Oryzias latipes: one gene and its partners. Each later gene encodes a partner of the first gene's protein in a complex. Links are inferred from orthologs where the notes say so. Each region holds a gene or a part of one and is shown on either strand. Other genes may lie near its edges.

Region 1 (6,557 bases):
GTCTTTTTGAACAAAATATTTAGAGGAAACAAATCTTTTGTTATTAAATGATTCATGTTGCCCAAGTTTCAACACTTTAAGGCCCGCTGTGCTTTAAACAGCCATGTGAACCACAGAGCATTTTGTTTTTTAAATGAAATATCACCATATGCGTTAGATTTAAAATGGGTTTTAAGTTTCTTTAGACAAAACAAATTGAGTTTTTCCCCCCTAAAGGCTGAGGCATCACCACTAGCTGTTAAAAACCAATCATTAAATAAAAATCAATCAAGAACTAGAATGATAAACTTAAAGAAGGCAGAAGGTCTGTGCGTTTATCAGTACACACATCACTTGAGCCACCTAACAACAAAAACTCCTGACTCGGACTCATTGACATTCTGTAAATGTTGGTGACCCAGCTGGTGCCTCAGAGGTTCGATTGTGCAAAATGTTCACTTTCTCAGCATTTGCTGCATTCCAACTCACTTAAAGAGCAATTTCCCATCACAGACCCCCATTTTGAAAAGTATGGAAGAATTACCAGCTCTTTGTTTAAGCTTAAGCAGCTCTTATCAGACCAGAGTTTTGGTCGAATACCTCCAAACGGCATCAAACTACAACATTATCAAGCAACACACATTTGAGCTTCAACACTGCTTATCTTACACTGATAAACTTTAAACAGCTAAGTACTCTAATTATTGTCATCTTGGTTTAAGGCCACATTCACACAAATTTTGGCTTGAAGAGTTATTTTGTGTGCAATCTAAGGGCCTAACTATTGGTAGCCTCTACTTCTCGCTCCTTGACGTGCCTTCATCTGACATCTGACAATGATTTCAGAAACCAGAAGAGTGGGAAAAGAAGAAAAGGGAACCTGTAAAGCCCAAACAGAACAATTTGGGTAGAGCTAAGCATCCCATTAGAAACACATGAGTTGAGCCATTTCAGGGTGGGGAGCAAACCAAAGTCACAAGAGCTTAAAAATAAAAACCCAATTCTTGTTTTTGCAGCCATCTTCATCATAAAAAAGACGAGTGAAACTCTTTTAAAATCTGTGTTCATCACAGAGACGTAACCTGTGTACGTTAACCACTGAAAAAAAAATGTCTTTGCTACCTTCTTGTCAAGCTTTGATGTGAATAATAGATGCTTCTGGACCTCAACCAAGAAACACTTAGGACAATGTTCATCCTTGCAGGCCATTACAGGAAATCCATTGAAAAGGGGCTGTTAAACATTCTGGAAACCACCCGACTCTTTAATCCTTCAAGACCGCAACTTTAGCTCTGGTGCTGACACTCTTTGAACCAGCGCAACTCTTCGACTTTTTACACAATTAACATATTTCCAACAGAACCGGAAGCTGCTTTTCTTTGCTTAAGAATCATTGCTTTACGTTAATTGTGTAAAGGTCAAAGAGTTATGACGGCCTGATGAAGAAAAAGACGAGGTTCATAGCAGTTTATGGTCTCTAATGGATCTGCTACAAGTAAGCCTAAAATATGAGAGGCAAGAGCAATATTTACCAATTTGTGTAAGATACTGTAAAATATGATGTCTTTACCAATGAAGCTGTTTTTAATCTCTTTTAAATAAACCTAAAAACACAAAAACAATCCAGAAATGGGTTTGTTACAACAGGTTTTCTGCCCTCAGTAGTAAAAGTCACCACATTGACTCTGTTCAGCTTTGTCCTTCACAAACAAAAAGAACCTTTATCCTGCACTACTCGAGTTCTATTTTCACATCAGGGATCAGGGTTACATTTGACCTTTACAGACCACAACTGAAATAAGCAGAAACAAGTGTCTGCGGAGACTTTTGCTTAGAAAGCTCTGACTGTTAACTACTGGCCTCATGGGTCAACGACAAGCCAAGCAGAAGCTGACTAAAGCCTGAGTCATACAGGAGACCGTCCTATCTGCCAGTGCGATACAAGACACAAACTGCGGCTGTTCTGTCTTCATCTGACCCACAGGGACAAAGGCACGGGGCCAGAGAAATCACCATTACTACCATGTTTACCACAAAGTTCACTGTTAAAACTTCAAAGACATGACCCACAAAACAGATGTTCTCAAAGGAGCTTGACTTTGTTAGGGAAAGGAACAATAAACAAGACCATCTACTTCTGATTGGACGGGAGTTAAACGGCAGAACGAAAAGTGAAAAGACTACTCACCGACTCGCATTCTCTGAGCTTCTTCTGGGCACTGTCAAAGTCAAAATTCACGTACAGACACTCCACAAACTCAGTGATTGGATCTTTGTAGGTGTAAGACTCCTAAAGAAACAAAAACAGTTTTTTTTCAGGGATGTCTCCATGTATCCCAAATCATGTAAGTCACTACTGAAACAAAAAGAAGTTCTGGACTAATTGCAGCAAAACAGAAGTTTTTTCCCCCTTTTTTCCCCTTTACAAAGTAAAAAAAAGAAAAGAAAAGACAGTGTTTTGTTTTAATTAAATTGCCAACAATAATAACACAGACAACATGACAAATGATTTGCACACTGGCTACAAAGGCTAATTCAAATAGGCTGAGTGAAAACACTCTGTGATCTTCAGACAGTTTCATCAAAGCGGAAAGAGTGACTTCCTCGCCAACCCAAGGTCACCAGGAGGAGAACACAGAGTCCATCTTTTAGTCATTCATTTTAGTAAAAAGCAACAAGCTTTGATCTCTGAAGTCCCTCTGTCACTGGTCAACAAGTAATGGGCATAGAACATAAAAGTCAGGTGGTTCCCCGCCATTCATCAGAAGTAATTGTTCAGAGACGTTGCCAGCAAGGCTGAAGCTCTAAGATACACCTGCTGTGCTTGACAGGAAGGGCTGGACGCTTCCTGTTCCTTCAGACCCTAATAAACTCAGACTATTTCAGCACCTGATGTTTGAAAAAGAAAGTCTGTTACCTGCTGTATGACCTTCACTAAATCCTTCAGAACCTGCCGGCGCTTACGCACATCCTTGTTTGTGATGACCGCTGTGGTTAGGTAACGCAAGATGTGGGGGCACATTGTCTGGATAGCATTGAGATATCTGAAAATGGGCAGACGAAAAAGTATTCACTTAATAGAGCAATGTTAGCAAAGACATGATCTTTACAAAGACACATATATAACATTCTGGCTGCCTGTCAGGGCCCTGGCATTTGGGATTGGGGAAAATACTTTGCAGCTAAACAGATACATTTTCCAGCAAGACCTTCATCTCTGCAGCTTAAAGCTTTCTCTTTCATTAGTCCTGTGAGAAAGGGGGGAGGAAGAGGAAACCCTGGCAAGGGGATATAGCTCTTGAGCAGGGACCTGCCCGGTAGCAGAAACTTAATCCATGAGGGACTGATGCTCCAACCACAGGTCAACTTGCTAAAGTCTGAAAACAAGAAACACAATGCTGTTACAGGCGGATTCTAATCCCACACTTATTTCAGAAAGAGGATCCTGTACAAACATGCAACGCCAGCACGCAAAATCCACTTTACTTGTCAGGATGGTCGTAAATGTACATTACCTGCGTCACCAGAGCGGTTCTTTAAATATGTGACCACATCTGATCAGAAATAAGGAAGTGGGCCCCTTAAGGTCTCTCAAAGCTATGGCCAGAGGAACACATGGCGCTCAAAGCAACCGTCCTGACAACAGTTTAATTAGCCGGATCAATTAGAGGGACAGGGTCCTGTGGTAGCTGTGATGTTGAGTCTAAAAACAGCAGTGGGCTACATGGCAAAGCCCGTCACCGGTCTCCTTTTAGGAGAGCTCCCTCCTTCTCTTTGTAGTTGTTTGACTTTTAAGGAAGACCACAATGCTTCATGCTGTGTTCCTGATTAACTTACACCTACACACTACTGGGGCCTCAAATAAGGGATCCGGCGGGAGTCCCCGCATCATGTGCAGTTAGACGGTTTTCACTGTAGCCCTGCTTCAATGGGATTTGCTCAGAAATATCGAATTTTTCTCTGAGTATAAGTCAGAGTTTTTCACATAGTTTGGCCAAGGGGTGCGACTTATAAGTGTTTTTTTTTACAAATACATATGCGCCTGTGTTTTACAAATACATATGCGCCTGTGTTTGTTATTTTCCTATCAACAACAACTAGAGGGCACTGCAGTTGATGGAGCAGTATTTGCTACTGACAGGAACCCAGAACAAGAAGCTCCGTTCATTCTTAAGGCCCGTACACACCGGGACGAATTTTCGCCAGCCGTTATTCGCCAGCGGTTTTCAACACGTTTTTTGTGTTCACACCCAGGCGAATTTCGCTGACGATGAGCCGAGCGAACATGCAATTTCATTCCCTGACATTAGATGGCGCTTAATGTAAAACAGAAATACTCCTGTACACAAGGTGGCGCTGCGCAACTTTACGCTTCTTAAAGTCGCTTTTCACTCAGAAGAAGAGAGCAAGTATTTACGTGCTTGTCAGAATCATACAAAGAAAACATGAATATTTCAAGCATCAGTTGCTCCAGCTCCAGTTCCAGCGATGAAGAAATGATTGTTCTGTTGAATGATGAAAGACGTCGGAAAAGACGTCGATTTTGGGAACATCCCATAGTTACGAGAAGAGAAGAACATGGGGAGTTTTATCGACTGGTACAAGAGCTGAAAATGTATGAGCGTTTTCGGGGATTTTTAAAATGTCCGTCAGTGAGTTGCATCTTCGTCTTATTTCTTCGCGGCAGTGTTGACGGTACTTGGCGTGTATCTTCTTCGCCGTGACGTATGTGTGCTCAGCAAGACAGTTTTGTGTTTGAGCACCCCCAAGTTGTGTTTTACTGTAACTTCAGAAGCTCCAGACACGTGTGCAAAAGCGCCATTCTCATTGGTCGAATAGTCTTTGACGCGGCGGGTCAAACCAAAAAAACAAACCCGAGGCGTTTTTTTAAAAATGACGCTTTTACGCGTGGCGTTTTTCGCGTCGGTGTGCACACTCACATTGGTGCCCTTTGTTTAGTCACGAGGTGTTCAACGTCGGCGAATATCGCGCGCGAAATTCGGCCCGGTGTGTACGGGCCTTTACAGTGGGCTCTGCAGAAGTGATATAAAGAGCTTAGTTGACTTGTTAGCATGTTCTTTATGTGATGGGTATTTGAATAATTGTTCATATGTTGTGCCAAAATACTAGATTCCTCTTGTGTTTTATGAATCTAAATAAGCATCAATGTTTTACGGTAGTGAAGTGTGCATATATTCAGTCTATTCTTCTTGTCTATTCTGTTGATATGATTTGCCTTTCAAGATGAAATGTCTGTTCTTGGTCCCGTATTTTATACATTGCTCCCAAAAGTTTAACTTATACTCCAGTGCCACCGGTCTAGGATTTTTTCTTTTGTTATGAATATTTTGGTATCTGCGACTTAAACTCCAGAGCCAAAACTACAATACTATGGATCACCACAAGGAGTCTGGAGGAGAATAAAAAAACAAAAAAAAAAAAAAGGTCCGTTATTTCCGGACTATGGAGCGCACCTGATTATAAGCTGCAACCATAACATTTTTTAAAGGATGAAACATTTTGTACATACAAAAGCCGCACCTGTCTATAAGCCGCATGTGCCCACATTGAAACATGTGTTGTTGATTGAGGATGTGCTGAAATCTTGCGCTGCGTGTGTAAGAAAGAGGAGGGAGCGGTAAAAGCGGAGCGAGGGGAGAACTCGTGAAGCGCAAAAGGGAGGCTCCTTCCTCTTACACACAGCTCGCTGACACACATACTCATTCTACAACACCTATAGAATTAGTTCATTAGATAGCTAGTAGTTACTGTTATTTGTTAATAAAGAATACTGTGTTGTAATTATTACTCGTACCGGTATTCATTTGCGAAACGGCCGTTGGGGGATTTTGTGATGGGGGTAGGGCGCGGACCACAGCACTGCAGCTCCTGCTGCTTCATCACAGAGGTGTTCAAAAATCCCACACCGTCACAGCTCTATTCCAAACAGTGCATGTGACGCGGCAGCAATATGGTAGTAACAGCTCTAACAGGACTGGTTAAAAAAAGCATACCGGTAAAAGTCACTGAGAGCAGCAGCGCGTTTGTGCGTCTGTGCACTGAAACCATGGAAGTCTTCCTCCTCAGTGACGTATTGAAATAGCGTCAGATATTCTTTCGCTACACTCTCTCTCAGTCTCTCCTTCCTTGTAGTTGTCAGTGTCACTCTCATCCTGAGGTAAATTCTCTCCTGAGCTTGCGCTGTCCTCTCCGTCACGCAGCACACCGGCTTTTCCAAACCCGTACCTACGATGGTGGATTTTTTCACACTTCTTTTAACTTGAAAGCTGCGGCATATGCATTTCTTCTTGCATTTTCCATGATGAGGGTCTGTTTGTACTATTCATTCACAAAGCAGGAATTTACATTAAACTTGCGTCTTTCTCGACACATATAACGTATTCTCCCCGTCTCTCTCTTACCCTTTCTGCTCGAGCACCCCTAGTGGCGGTTAGAAAAAATGCATTAAAAAGAAAAAAATGCATAAATTAGCCGCATCATTGAATAAGCCGCAGGGTTGAAAGCGTGTGACCAAAGTAGCGGCTTATAATCTGGAAATTACGGTAACTTGGCAGTAA
Region 2 (7,098 bases), on another chromosome or scaffold:
AAAGAAGAAGCAAAGACCACCTGAAGCTGGACGGCAGAAGACCCCGCCCCCCTCCGTTCTCTGAAGCCCTGATGTTTAAAAATCCTTTTTTGTATCTGATCAGCAGCTGGACTGAACTGTCCCCCTGTCTGAATACCCCCCCACACACACACTCAGAGTTCCTGAACCGTCCTGTAAGTTATTTTAAACCATGAGGACCCCCCCTCCCCCTGTACATGTATGAATGTGAACCTGCAGACGTTGGTGAGTGAATGTTTTTATATTTTCTATTGTTCTACATAAAGATTGAAGCCACTTTCTGAGCCTCAGTGTCTTTAAGGGTCCGCCCCACTTTGGGGGAGGGGTGGGGTTTTCTAACCCAGATCAGTGATGGAACAAAGGACACAGCAGTCACATGGTCTTCTGTCGCTCTTTATTCTGAACTGAAACGCTGTTGGAGGGGGGGAGGGCCTCCTGTGGGTCACGCCTCCAGTTCAAAGTCAAAGTACTGAGGGTCAAAGTAATGAATCCGGACGTAGCCGTCTTCTCCTCCACTGCTGTAGCTGCAGACAGACACGGGGGTCAGCTCAGACCCTTCAGAACACCCCCCCCCAAACCAGAGCCAGGTTACCTTTTGCCATCAGGATGGAAAGCTACGCAGTTGATTGGACCAAAGTGACCTTTGACCCTGCCAAACTCCTCTTCATAGGCTGCATGGAAGAACCTGGAAGAGGCAGAGATTTCAGCAAACATCACTCAGCTCTGGGGTTTCTCCTTATCATGGGGTCTCAAAATGCGGCCCGGGGGAAGACTTTTTGTGGCCCTCAATTCCCTAATTGATGGTTATTAAACCAGCTGTCGACTGCTAGGAAAAATATTTTGTGATTTCTGGCAACATCTGCAGGAAAAAATGGTAATCAGAGCTGGGTGTCAGCGGTACAGTGTATTCATTTCACCACAAGGGGGCAGACATGTTCTATGTCACTGCCTCTGTGAAAGGAAAGACCGTGAAGACGGCAGTAGAAATGGAATCAGAGCGGGATTCTGAGAGCCAGAGCAGGTTCCTTAAAGGAAAAACGTGTTGGCGAGGAGAAAAGGCGCTATCAAGCTAAGTGGACAGATGCTTACTTTGTCGTACCTCATTGGCTGGATAAAGTCATGTGCCGTATTTGCACGTATCTGCAATGCTCCAAGAATTCGATAAAATAGTCAATGTTATAAATCATAAACTATAACAAATTTACTGGCGAGGAGGACAACAATAATCTACATCAACTACGACGAGGATAAGCTGCAGACCAGATGTTTACAAAATGGCTACATCCAGTTAAGCTGTGACAAACTAGCTACATTGTGGCTTTGGAAATGGCCCAGCATAGCAAGCCCTTCAGGGACGGGGAGTTTGTAAAAGAATAAATGCTGAAAGTAGCTGTTTGTCCAGAGCAAAAGAGTCTGTCAAATGATACAAATACTAGACGAGTAGAAGATCTGGACAGCAACCTCCAACCTCAACTGGTAAAACATCTGGAGGGCCTGGTTACCGTAATTTCTGGATTATAAGCGGCTACTTTTGTCCCCGTGTCCAACGGCCACTAGGGGCGCTGGAGCATAAAGAGTAAGAGTGAGACGGGGGAATACAGTATGTGTGAGGAAGACGCAAGTTTAATGTAAATTCCTGTTTTGTGAATGAATAGCAGGAACAGACTCATCATGGAAAATGCAAGAAGAAATGCAGATGACACAGCTTTCAAGTTAAAAGCAGTGTGAAAAAATCCACCATCACCAACGGGTTTGGAAAAGCCGGTCTGCTGCGTGACGGAGAGGACAGAGCAAGAACAGGAGACAATTTACCTCAGAGTGACACTGATGACAATGAAGGAGAGAGAGAGTGGTGAAGAATATCTGACGCTATTCCAATCCCACACTGAGGAGGAAGACTTCCATGGTTTCAGTATTTACTGCTGCTCTCAGTGACTTTTACTGGTATGTTTTTTTTAACCAGCCCTGTTAGTGCTGTTACTACTATATTGTTGCCGCGTCACATGTACTGTTTGGAATAGAGCTGTGACGGTGTGGGACTTTTCATCACCGCAGTGATGAAGCAGCAGGAGTTGCGGTGTCGTGGTTTGGCCCTCCGCTACAAAAACTGTGAGAACCCCAGCTCTTGGATGTTGGGTTCTTCCAGGCTGAAAACGTTTCTCTCCGTTCTGATGGAGACCACGCTAATGTGGATCAACTCTTCCTGCTGAAGGTGCGTTTGTGGCTTCACGACTGACTGACGTTCGGCTCAGACTCACCTGGCCTCAAACTTGCCGATCCTGGTGGAGGTGGTGGTAACGTCCATGGCTTCCTGTCCTCCTCCCATCACAACCTGAGAGGAAATGTGCGTCACTGACCTGCATCCACCTGATCTCTTTCAAACTTGGAGGAGGGGTTCTTACGTGGTCTTTGATGGGGGAGATGGCAGCAGAGTTGACCGGCCTCTCTGTCCTGAAGGTTTTGATGTTTTCTAGAGAGGTGGAGTCAAACAGCTAAAAGAAACAAACATTCAGAGTTGATTTGAGATTCCTCAGAACAGTCACTTCAGCAGCGGAGCGGTCGTTACTTTGGCAGAGTTATCCTTGGAGGCGGTGATGACCATGGTCAGATCCACCGAGGACTGGATGTCATTGATCTGTTTGGTGTGCTCCTTGACCTTCTTCAGGGCCTCTCCAGACTGCTCACAGGGAAACGGCACATGAACCAGTTTCACTTCAGAAAGAATCCACACACAGGTCTGAAGGCTCTAACCTTAGCGCTGAACTGGCTGATCTCGCCGTTCTCATGGCCAGCGATGACAAATTCGCCCAGCGGCCCCCACACCGCGCTGGTTATCTTCGATTCGTTGCAGGGTACGGACAAGTACGGGTTGTTGTCCTCTGCAGACAGAATGCTTCAGTCATGATTCATTACTTTCCTAGCAGCTTTTCAGAAGCTGAACATCCAGCTTCACTGTGGAGGGGGATGAAGACGCAGCAAACTAACGGGGACGTCAAACTCCAGGCTCCTGCTAACTTCACATACCTATCTGCTGTGGGTCCCTCAGGTCAAAGAAGTTCAGGTAGCACTGGTAACCCATCTGCTTGTCAGTAGAGAACATGATGATGTTCCCGCTGAAGTCGAACCCACATGTCCTGACGGCAGAGCTGGTGTTGAGCAGCGCCAGCTGTTTACCTGTGAGCAGGAGACACGGTTCTGTTTGAATGTGAGCTCATAGAACTGGCTCACACCACAGACCCATTTGGATTTTACGGACCGGTCTCGCAGTCCCACAGCCGGCAGCTGTTGTCTGCTGATCCTGTTAGAACGTTCTTCGTGTCCCCTGAGAAGGCGTGTTAAGAAACTGCCCGCGGCCTCAGGAGTTAGCATGCACACCATTCATCCTCACAGGAGGAAGGATACAGTCGCAGTCCACGCACCATACCGCCCCCGTGTGTCCGTTGTACGTGCCGAGCCTCTCGCCGTTTACGGAGTACCACGCATTTGCAACCTGCAGGGACACAAGTCAGTGAGTCCGAAACACCTGGAGATGGGGGGGGTGGCGGGGGGTGAGGGCTCACCGTGTCTTTAGCTACAGAGAAGAGCAGGTCGCCCTCTCTGTTGTACTTGATTTGAGTGATGGACCTCTCGTGGCCCTGCAGCAGGATGGGTTTCTGCCAGGAAACGTCACAAAACCTTTAGTTTGAGCGTTAGACAGTCTGCACAGCAGCACCACAAAGGTTAACCTTCATATCTTTAGTAACCAATCAAAAACAATTGCCAGCTGATCAACCAGCCTGCAGGAAAACAGTCACATCCCTTTGTTTGTTTTCAGACCCATGAACATATTTAAGTCCTTCAGTCCCAGAATCTAACTATGACGTCATCAACAGGGAGATATAATGTGGTCTTCAGTAAAAACAAATCCAAGAAACCCTTATTTTTCTAATAAAAACTATTAATTGGTTCAGTTTCTGAGATTTTGGCTGAACTTGTATTGATATTTAATAGTTCATGACATTTGGTCTAATTATTGCAGTTTAGGGTAAATTGTTTGATTTATTGGTGCTTTTTGTAGTTTATAATCTTTTAGTTTTTTAAAATTGTACAAAATCATCAGTTACAGCGCGTAAACCTCCGATTTTGGCCTAAAATAAAAACATTCTAAAGAAATAAAAATGATTTCTATTCTTTCTCAGCCTCACCGACAGCATGAGTGCTGCTAGCAAGCACGACACCGGCTAACTGCGGAGCTAAGCTAACCAGAGGCCAAATACAAAGCAAACATGGCCGAAACACAACAAAGCTTCAGAAAAGCCACAACTGACCATTTCTGTCAGCCACACGGCCCCAGTAAGTCCGACAAGAGGTACTTAGCTTCAGACGAAAAGAGGAAAGGGGGACTCTCGTGTTTTCAGGCGCCCTGGAATTGCACCGGAAAAGGAATGCTTGTGTCACTAACCAAAGAACTTCCGGTAGACACGTCGCCCCCTGGCGGCGTTACCAATAATGACAACCAACACGACTATCTGGACGAGAAGAGCAGCACACCTTTATCATTCTCTGCGGGAGTGTCACGTGTAACATTTTCCATGGCTTTAATTTTTGATATATTTTTACTTTTTATCTTCTTTAAAAGGATTTTGAACAGAAAACCAAACACAGGGAAAATCCAGAAGAGCTTCTGTGTGAAATCTGAACCAACACTTTGATGCTTCGTGTTTTCATGACTTGTTAAAAACACAAACAGAAAAGAAATGTCACATTCTAGGCCACTTAAATGTTCAATGTTCCTCAAGAGTCACAGTGTACATTTTGAGAACAAACGTAGGCTACATTTGAATAAAATATACTAACCCTAATTTACGTTACAATTTTTTTTCCGTAAATTTACGGCTTTAAAGTGAAACCTGTTTGTGTTTGTAAACTGAATACCGTCATAGTTACCAAATTTTAAAAATACTTTTTTGCAACAGCTGCTGTTTTACGTTTTCATTTTCGTCCTTTTTGTGTGTCCAGCGTTTTCTTTGGCAATAACAGTTAAAAAGTTTTAAAAAATTGTCAATACAGTTGACATTTTTGCGTGATACAGATACTGCCATGTTGGAACCAGACATCGTCAGTAAACAGTAGGTCCAAGTCAATCTGAGTCAATGTTTCTATAGCAACCACTTAAAATTTAGCCTGTTGGAAGGCCACGCCCCTTCCACTTGAAAGCCGGCTAGACAAAAGGTCGTGTTTGGGATAAACCAGCGCCTCGCCTGGATCGTCAACGAGACCAGTCGGCTGCATGCGGGGAAAGGCGTCTGGGATGAAGGTGAACCACAGACTGTAAAAGCATTGGACGAATGGCGTTGTGACATCACCCATAGGAAAAGCCGTACCTCCGGCTCTCACGAAAGGAGGCCACATCCCTCACCATTGCTACCTGATACGAGCGCCGCCATGTTGAAACCAGTCGACAGTGGTTGGTCCGATTCTCTCCGAGTCATCGTATCTATGGCAATGGTGACAGTGGTTGCCATAGATACAATGACTCAGAGCGACTCGGACTGTCGACTGGTTACAACATAGTGGCCACTGTATCAGGTAGCAATGGTACTTCCTATTTGGGAACATGAGAAGGAAGGGGTTGAGACCATTGAGTTCTATCGCTAGAGGAGACATCACGGGGTTCCACATAGGAGGAGAGCACCGCCATCTTGGTGAGGTCAAGTCACTGCAGCACTGCATGCATGTGAACACATTTTTTGCAAAATGCCAGTTCATTGTGCGGGTTTCAACTCCCAGAATCAGAGAAATGAGTCCATGAAGGAGGAAGGCAGAACATTTCACAGGTAGGTACTATAATTTTTTTCTTTTAATGCTGCAGGGGCTTCATTAATAAAACACAGGTTTTTTTTTTAATAGTACACATGTTAACATGCATGATGCTGCAGGGCTATTATCAACATGTAGGGATGATGGATGAATAATTTACTGTCGACATAAATGTAAACTTTATTTTGTTAACCCCACATACAGGATACTAGGACTAGGCTATTATTGTTATATAGCCTGTTTTGTAATGTATGTAGCATATTTTTAAAATTATCAATAGGTATTTTAATTATCATAGTCTTATTGCATTTTCCTGTATATCCTTTTCATTGTTATTTTCAATCGTTGTGACAAATTGTTCTTTTTAACTTTTAAGCTAGTAAATTTTACCATCTGTCCGGGGAGAACGGAGGGAAAAGAGCCACCGGGCTGATTCTGGCTCATTGCGGTGATGCTTGTGCACTTTTTCTTGAGAAGTATACAAAATTCAAATAAAAGTTAACCTTTAAAGGCAACAATAAAACACAGATTATTTGTGATGCCTGTACTTATGACTTCTTTTTGTTGCATAAATGCAACAAAATAATTTCGGCCTGTCATTTAGAACCAAAATGATTATCAGTAGAAAACAAGAATTACATATTTCAAATAAAATAACTTCTAATGATAAAGTAATCTGAGTGATGTTGATTTCAATGACCATTTGTAGAAAATAAATCTTGTCAATTTTTTCATCAGTGATTCACTATTTACAGAAAGTTACATAATACGCCAGCAGTTTCTGTTTAGCATCCCTTTAAACTATAAGAAAACAGTTTCCCACAATGCATTTAGTTTTTGTAGTTATCAGGCGGGCCAGGCGATAACTTGGCGTGTTTGAGGTCACCCTGGTGCGCGGTGTATGCTGGTTAGTCTGCCTGGGTGATCTCAAACACGCCACGTCGCCACCAGTGAGGCTTCTGATTGGTCCGTTTATAGCTTCAATAACTTGCAATAAAGAAAACAAACTGGATCATTAATAAAACGTTTTAGACAAAAAGGTATCGGATCAAGAATGGGTAAGTCTGCACAATAGAATGACTGAGTAACAGCTGTTTATTTCTCCATAGACGTCTATGGGAGTTTGGCTCCCTGGAACCAGCAGGTACTTCCTGTTTGGAACGCCAGGGGCGGGGGTCACTCAGTCCAGTTCTCGTTTACAGTCAATGGGGCGGCCCCCAATGAGCTCACAGAACCCCCTCCACCAAAGACCAAAGAGTTCAAAAAACAAAACAGCAGTTG
Region 3 (7,105 bases), on another chromosome or scaffold:
CTTTGAAACAGACAAGGTTCTAAAGAACTGAAAGTGTCCCTGGATTTTTTCCTGTTTAGAATTGGCTAAAGTTTTTACAAATTTCCCTACTATGCTTTGAAATTTGTTTATTGCAAGCAATTCAGACTAAAAGTATGTAGATTAAGTTTAGTCATTGGAAAATGAAAAATGCACACATTCTTTTAACCCTTGTGCTATCCTAGGCACTTTAACATTGGGAGTGGGGTCATCTAGACCCACTAGACAGTGCTCTGAACCTTTTTTCTTCAATGATTTGTGATCTTCACTGGTGTCCATGGATTACATGAAATCTTTCCACCTTTGTCATGGTAGGGAGAACATGTCAATGTAAGGGTGGGGTCATCTAAGATAGCACAAGGGTTACGGCCCTTCAAGTTTGAAGTACTTCCTTTTGTAGATTTTGATTTATAAAAGCTCTTTTGTACTTAAAGGCATTTGTCATTTTGACAAATCTAATCAAGTTAAGTATTCACTTAAAAGCAACATGAAGCTGGAAATCTGTATTAAATGTATTATTTCAAGATTCAAGAACAACTTTATTAATCCCCGAAGGGAAATTTAGTTGCAGTAGCAGCACTAAGGAAATAGGGGGGATAAAGACAGACACAAAATATACAGGGAAGAAAAAAGGAAAAATTGGAATAAAATAATAGTATAACTGTACAGTCTGTAACTCTAGAATTCTCATGTACATCCAAGTCTGCCAGATGAATTGTGGAGTCTAATGGGAGAAATGACTTCCTGTATCGTTCTCAGGCACAGCGGGGTTGTATAAGTCTTCCGCTGAAACTGCTTCTCAGGTTGTCCACCTACCTGAAGAGGGGATGGGAGGGATTGTCCATGATGGTCCCCAGTTTAGCCAGTAGTCTGTCCCCCACTACCTCTTCCAGATTGGCAGGCTTGAAGTCAATAACAGACCCTGCTTTTCTAATAAGTTTGTTCAGTCTGTTGGCGTCCTTTGCTTTGATGCCAGCACACTGCAGCAAAGAAGATGGTGCTCGCCATGACAGACTGGTAGAACATGTGGAGCATCCTACTGCAAACATTGAAGGACCTGAGTCTCCTCAGGAAGTAAAGTCTGCTCGTACCCTTCTTCTAAACCGCCTCAGTGTTTGTGGACCAGTCCAGTTTATCGTCTAGATGTACACCCAGGAACTTGTAGGACGAGACAATTTCCACATCCGTCCCACCGATACAGACTGGGGAGGGCGGAGACTTTCTCCTGCTAAAGTCAATCGCCATCTCTTTAGTCTTGGCCACGTTCAGCAGCAGGTAATTTTCCCCAGACCACCTGACGAAACACTCCACGAGGCTCCTATACTCCTCTTCCCGTCCATCTTTCACACACCCGACTACAGCTGTGTCATCCAAGTGCTTCTGGAGGTGACAGAGCTCAGAGTGGTACTGGAAGTCAGCTGTGTATGTGGTGAATAGGAAGAGGGACAGCACGGTTCCCTGAGGGGCTCCTGTGTTGCTTATCAGGGTGTCAGACACACAGCTCTGCAGTCTCACAAACTGAGGTTGACCTGTCAGGTAGTCCTCAATCCACGAGACCAGGGCTTTATTTATTTAATATTGGCTTTGTTGAAATTCTATGGTGTGTAAATGCAACATAAGCACACAATCTGTGAATTTGGTATAGAAATCAATCAAAAAACCTTAAAATTAATAAAACTGCAACGATATTTCTGAATTCATTCTCTTTATTGAAGCAATAGCCACATTTTACCACAATAGAATCTGGCATCTTTCTAGAAATCCGTTTGAACTCAGTTGTTTGAAGGCCTGTAAAGAGAATAAACAATGTTAGCACCAGTTTTAAAGCAATGTTTTAACACAAATACTTGAATGGGAGAAGAAGCTTACTTGGCCCATTCAACATTAAGAATAAGATGGTCATATCCAAATCCTGAGACCCCCGCGATGGCTCTGGCGGCATCCTCCCGACGATGGAAACTGATGAAGGCAAACCCCTGCAGGAAATGAGATGCAGCGTTAACTGGAGCGCGTCATTCGCTCATGAGAGCACACATCAACTGTCTATCGACATATTAATATCAGATGCAGACAGAAGGCAGCTCTCACCAAAAAGATCTTTTTGGCTTATATAAGTTAGGGTTAATAGTTGTGATTACAAACAGAACCATGATTGGGTTAAAGTAACCTATTTTCAGTTGAAACAAGCCTTCATAACTGATCTGTACTGCTTTTTTTGAAATGGCCTCTAACCTTGGACTGCCCTGTATTCTTATCCTTGGCCAGATAAATCCTTGAGATGGAGCCAAACGGTCTGAAGAGTTCCTGCAGGTCCGTCTCACGGGTGTCCTCCGACAGGTTGGTCACACGAATGGTTGCATTGTCATCAGCTGTGCAATCACATACAATTTCAAGGGATAAAGTTTTGCTGCTGAAAATAATTGTACATGTTTTGCCCTGAAGCCTCACCTCTGCGGTTGGGCTGCATGGACTCTCCTCTTCCCCGGCCTCCATCCCTCAGACTTGGAGGAACGTACTTCCCCGTCTTGCTTTGGGCGGGCTGAGCAGGCTCTGGTTCCGCTAAGGAAAGTAAGAGGAAGCAGGAGTCACTGGTGAGGTGTTTAGAAAAAAAAAATTCTCAAATAGTGTTTCTGAGAATAAAGAGCAAATGCTACCGGCGCCAGCGGGCTTTTCCTTGTCTCCGGTAGACAGTCCAAGCTGCTCAGCCAGCTCTTTCTGCATGGGGCCCAGGGTGTCCTTGTATGGACAGCGGGTGGTCCAGTGGTCGCCTTTACAAATACGACAGGACACAATCTTCTGTCCCTTTAGCTTGTTCATGGGATCCTCATCCTGGTCTTGAGCATTCAAATCCTGCAAAAAGCAAAATTAGTAAATCCACAAGGAAAGTTGGTTCACAACAATTAAGCAGAAAATAATATTTAATGCAAGTTATTACCTCTTTGCTGGAGATGAAAGTCATGAAGACATCATCACTGACTGTGGTGGTGGCAACATTTGGGCCAGGAGCATCAAACTCAGAGTTGCCAAACTTTTTCCAGTTCTGAAAAGAGTAAACTCACTGTTGCACAACAACCAATCCCACAAAAGTAATCCCAGTTTAAACACAACTCCACAAACCTTCCTCCTGGCAACGGCTTTTGATGCTTTCCTCGTCTCAATCTTAAAAGTCCGTACAATCTACAGAGATTGAAAAAGAATCCATGAAATAATTCAGTTGAAGCAGGTCATCACTTTAACCACTGTGGACATGCTGTTTACCTTATATTTCTTTCCATCTTCCTCGTCGATTTTATACTCTGTGATAGTTTTGATATTACCTCTAATCGTCTCCTTTGGGGAGGGAAGTGTGGCTGTCAATGACACAAAAACAAGTAGACAAATGAATTACAGCCTAAAAATTCTTAGAAGATATTTTAGGTCATTTAATTTTTTCAACTGGGTCTAAACAAAAAAATTAGTTCACAAAGCAGCTAATAAGTAATATGTTAATTTGTAACGAATCTTTGTATTGCGGTTTTTGTTTTTGGGTTGTGGTGATGCTAACATGTTTTATGAAAACAACAGAAGTAAATTTTGTATGCGTTTATAATGATTTATTAATTTAAAACCTAACAAGTAGAGGGCACAATAATATTTGGATGAATGGGCTACTTTTATCAAAATATTGTTAATAAGTTGTATTGCGCGTTTAACATAATTAATTACAAATATTTTGTATCTATAATTTGTGTACAGATGTTCCAACTACATTTTATCATTAAATTACATTGAATTACATGTTGAATTCACTACACACAACTGTCCCAATTTTTAACGGGATTTGCCAAAAGTCTCGGGACGGACATGAATTAAATGCGAGCCAAACACGAATATTTTGAATATTTGACATACTGCAAAATAATTAATTTGAGAGCAGTTACCGTCTCCTAACCTAACGGAGCTTGTTAGCTGCAAGCTTTTATGTTAGCCACATCGATGCTATTTTGACAACAGAAAATTTGCGCCAACAACCGTCCAACATGACATTTCTCTAAAACCTATTTCTTTTAAAATAAAAACAATTTTAACACGTGTATACGCAACGTTTTTCCCTGGATATATTTATTTTAAAAAGCAGACGAACACGTGGACATGAAGCCGGGTTAGCCGGCCTCCTTGAACCAAGCAGTGTTACCATAAATTAGCTTCAATGCTAACAGCTTTCTTTCTTACTTTCATCTACTTCCTCCTCGACTTGGTCGGCCCAGCTGGGCTTAGAGCTAAAATACAGAGAAGATAATCAACATTAAACCAGTAAAAAAGACATTTGTGACATATAAACACTGATGGAAAATCTAAATGACACTCACTCGTCGTACTCCACCGACGGCATCCTGCGTGTTAGCTTAGCTCGAGAAGGACCGAGCCGCGCCGAGAGCAGGTCGCTTCCGGAACTTAAACTTCAAAATAATAGCATAATAATAATAATAATAATAATAATAATAATAATAATAATAATAATAATAATAATAATAATAAAAGAAAAAACTTTTTCGCTACATGCATGGCACAAATCGGATTATAATCTGTTTTTTTTAATTGCCATCTGAATCTGATCAGTTATTGTCTGGTGATTGTAGTTCTCTGATTTTTCTAATTAAAAACAGATTTCTATTCGATAATTTGACATTTTCCTATGCGTTTATATACATTTTTATAAAGTGTTGAAATTTAATAAAAGCTACATAAAGAATAATTTATTAAAAAAAGACAATGAACAGATGATTGGCATTTAAACAAAAGACTTCAGAAGCGTGTAGTCTTTTATACACCTTAAAGCTCTGTTGGGCAACTCTGACAAGAATCAAACTGGATTATTATTTGTTATCTAAAGTTTGGATTCGTTTTGGGTTTTCTTCAAGTTGATAGATTTGTGCAATCGTGCATTGTTTCACATTTTTTTCCTACCAAATAGGTTTAGCCATCAGGCAATAAGTTTAGAATTTGACATACATTTTTGAGATAGTTGTAGCAGAACCACATCATATTTCATTTAACAATTTGATAAAATAAGTTGAATTTATCAACCTAAAATCAATTCAGACCACACTAGAAATTGTGTAAATGAAATAATTATTTATTCACTTACTTACAAAATCTATATGACAAAAAGAGAGGGATTTGAAGCAAGTTTGTTTTGTTCAGATGGAATTTATTTATTCTTTTAATCACTGATTCAACTATTTTAGAAACACATAATATATTAATTATGAAAAACTTTTACCTGAACATCTAATAACAAGTAAGAAATGATTGCACAAACAGCTTCATAACACAGAAACAGTTTATTTTAGACAGGTATGAACAGAAAAAGAAAAACGATTTGATGCATAACATGTGAGTGTCAAAGTTCAACATATGGAAGGCAAAAATATTAAAGAGTGTATATAAACTGTTATTGCAGATAAAACCTATAATTTACTCTTCCAGTCAGATAGAAAGTATTTTTTTTGACAAAAGCCACCAAAGCAGTACTTTCCCTGTCAATCAAAAACCCAACTAAAGTGTAATAGAACAAGAGACATTAAAACAATGGACACAAAACTGTATAAAAACATAGATTCAACAATAGAAAAGCATCATAAGCTATTGCAAGCCAGAGAGAGAGAGAAGGGTTCAGCTGTAAAGACATAAAGGGCTTCTTATTCCTGCATTCTGTCGTCTGAATCTTTTCCACAGCATGCCACTCTTATACTGTCAAACACGGCCATGTAGAGGATGGGATGGATGCACATGTTCAGAGTTGCCAGTCCCTTAGACACCTGGTACATGTTGTAGACCCAACAAACAGACAGGTTAGGAAAGTGTAACCTTTGGTACAAATGATAGACTTGAGCAAAGTGATACGGTACAAAGGAGATGCCATAAAGAAAGATCACCGATGAAACTAACAGGCCAACCTTGTACTTTTCTTGCTTTGTTATGTTGACATTTTTCCACACTACACGAATCACCAGAAAGTAAGAAGTGAAAGTCACCAGAAAGGGCACAAGGCAGCCAAACACGGCCAGGAATAGTTTGTAGATGAAGTGAGAGCTTGCATTATTAGAAACGTGGTCACAGAAAGACACACACAGAGTGTTGTTGTTGTCTTCATGCTGGCAAACAGATGCAAATTTCAGCACAGGTAGGGAGACGACTGCGACGATAGTCCATATGATGACGCTGGCGAGTTTGGCGTGGAAAGGCTCCACGTAGGAACGGTTAAAGAAAGGCCAAACGAGGGCCACACATCGGTTCACGCTGATGGCCATGATGAAGAAGACGCTCACGTATAGGTTGAGGATAAAAAGAAACCTCTCCATCTTACACACAGCATTCCCAAACATCCAGCGTTTCTCCAGTGAATAATAAACGATCAGGAGAGGCAGAGTTAGGACATACAGCAGGTCACTGATGGCCAGATTACAGGACAGGACCACACCTGGGTGCCAGTTCTTTCTTTCCTTGGTGAGCAGCAGAAACAAGGCCAACGCATTTCCCACAAGAGCAACGATAAACTCCACTCCATACATGGCAGGAAGCACGCCGATCTGAAACTTCTCGCAATCAGAGAAGTTCACCATCTTTCTCTACAGGTGATTGATCAATTGTGTGGAGGGCAGTGGCTGTGAAAGCATGTGAACAGTTTGATCAGCTGCCCTGATGTTTACTTGAACACATTTGAACACAAAAAATGAGATTTTGTGAAAAGGTAAAAGGTATCTTTTAAAAAAGATACAAAAACTTATCAAGAAACTTGTCAAAACAGGTTTCACTAAATCTATAAAAATGATGTTAACTTACCCAAAATGTGCTACAAACTGTATTTATCAAGGAGCGATGAAAGCAGTTCCTGTGTAGAAACTTAAGACTAAAGATATCGCTCGATTATCTCAAGTGTTGCATCTAGTGACACAAAAAAGCCTGAGTGTCATTTCCTCTTACCGACACATGCGTTTCACAATCTGACGAGGAACATGACCACTTCTGCCATCTGCACAAAAAAAGGCTATAAATACATTACGTTAGCCTTGACTCAGTTTTAAATCTAATATAATTTAAAATC

Evidence for each region.
Region 2: eif3e (region 1) and eif3i share a complex: the UniProt entries of both Homo sapiens proteins name them as parts of the eukaryotic translation initiation factor 3 (eIF-3) complex. The link is inferred for Oryzias latipes from reciprocal best matches to the Homo sapiens genes EIF3E and EIF3I.
Region 3: eif3e (region 1) and eif3g share a complex: the UniProt entries of both Homo sapiens proteins name them as parts of the eukaryotic translation initiation factor 3 (eIF-3) complex. The link is inferred for Oryzias latipes from reciprocal best matches to the Homo sapiens genes EIF3E and EIF3G.

The regions. Positions count from the first base shown.
Region 1 is NC_019874.2:3,402,865-3,409,421, forward strand, and holds part of eif3e (eukaryotic translation initiation factor 3 subunit E), read right to left. Parts: intron 3,024-6,557; coding exon 2,897-3,023; intron 2,270-2,896; coding exon 2,168-2,269; intron 1-2,167. UniProt on the Homo sapiens protein: Component of the eukaryotic translation initiation factor 3 (eIF-3) complex, which is required for several steps in the initiation of protein synthesis.
Region 2 is NC_019869.2:26,645,149-26,652,246, reverse strand, and holds eif3i (eukaryotic translation initiation factor 3 subunit I), read right to left. Parts: upstream 4,467-7,098; 5' UTR 4,329-4,466; coding exon 4,326-4,328; intron 3,672-4,325; coding exon 3,579-3,671; intron 3,509-3,578; coding exon 3,421-3,508; intron 3,341-3,420; coding exon 3,275-3,340; intron 3,193-3,274; coding exon 3,043-3,192; intron 2,898-3,042; coding exon 2,770-2,897; intron 2,696-2,769; coding exon 2,585-2,695; intron 2,511-2,584; coding exon 2,421-2,510; intron 2,351-2,420; coding exon 2,277-2,350; intron 704-2,276; coding exon 611-703; intron 543-610; coding exon 461-542; 3' UTR 394-460; downstream 1-393. Other genes in the region: probable histone deacetylase 1-B, read left to right, coding at 1-24. UniProt on the Homo sapiens protein: Component of the eukaryotic translation initiation factor 3 (eIF-3) complex, which is required for several steps in the initiation of protein synthesis.
Region 3 is NC_019866.2:8,455,062-8,462,166, forward strand, and holds eif3g (eukaryotic translation initiation factor 3 subunit G), read right to left. Parts: upstream 4,467-7,105; 5' UTR 4,391-4,466; coding exon 4,368-4,390; intron 4,278-4,367; coding exon 4,231-4,277; intron 3,369-4,230; coding exon 3,277-3,368; intron 3,196-3,276; coding exon 3,136-3,195; intron 3,059-3,135; coding exon 2,954-3,058; intron 2,869-2,953; coding exon 2,673-2,868; intron 2,578-2,672; coding exon 2,467-2,577; intron 2,388-2,466; coding exon 2,251-2,387; intron 1,995-2,250; coding exon 1,888-1,994; intron 1,807-1,887; coding exon 1,791-1,806; 3' UTR 1,707-1,790; downstream 1-1,706. Other genes in the region: suppressor of SWI4 1 homolog, read right to left, coding at 5,700-6,629. UniProt on the Homo sapiens protein: RNA-binding component of the eukaryotic translation initiation factor 3 (eIF-3) complex, which is required for several steps in the initiation of protein synthesis.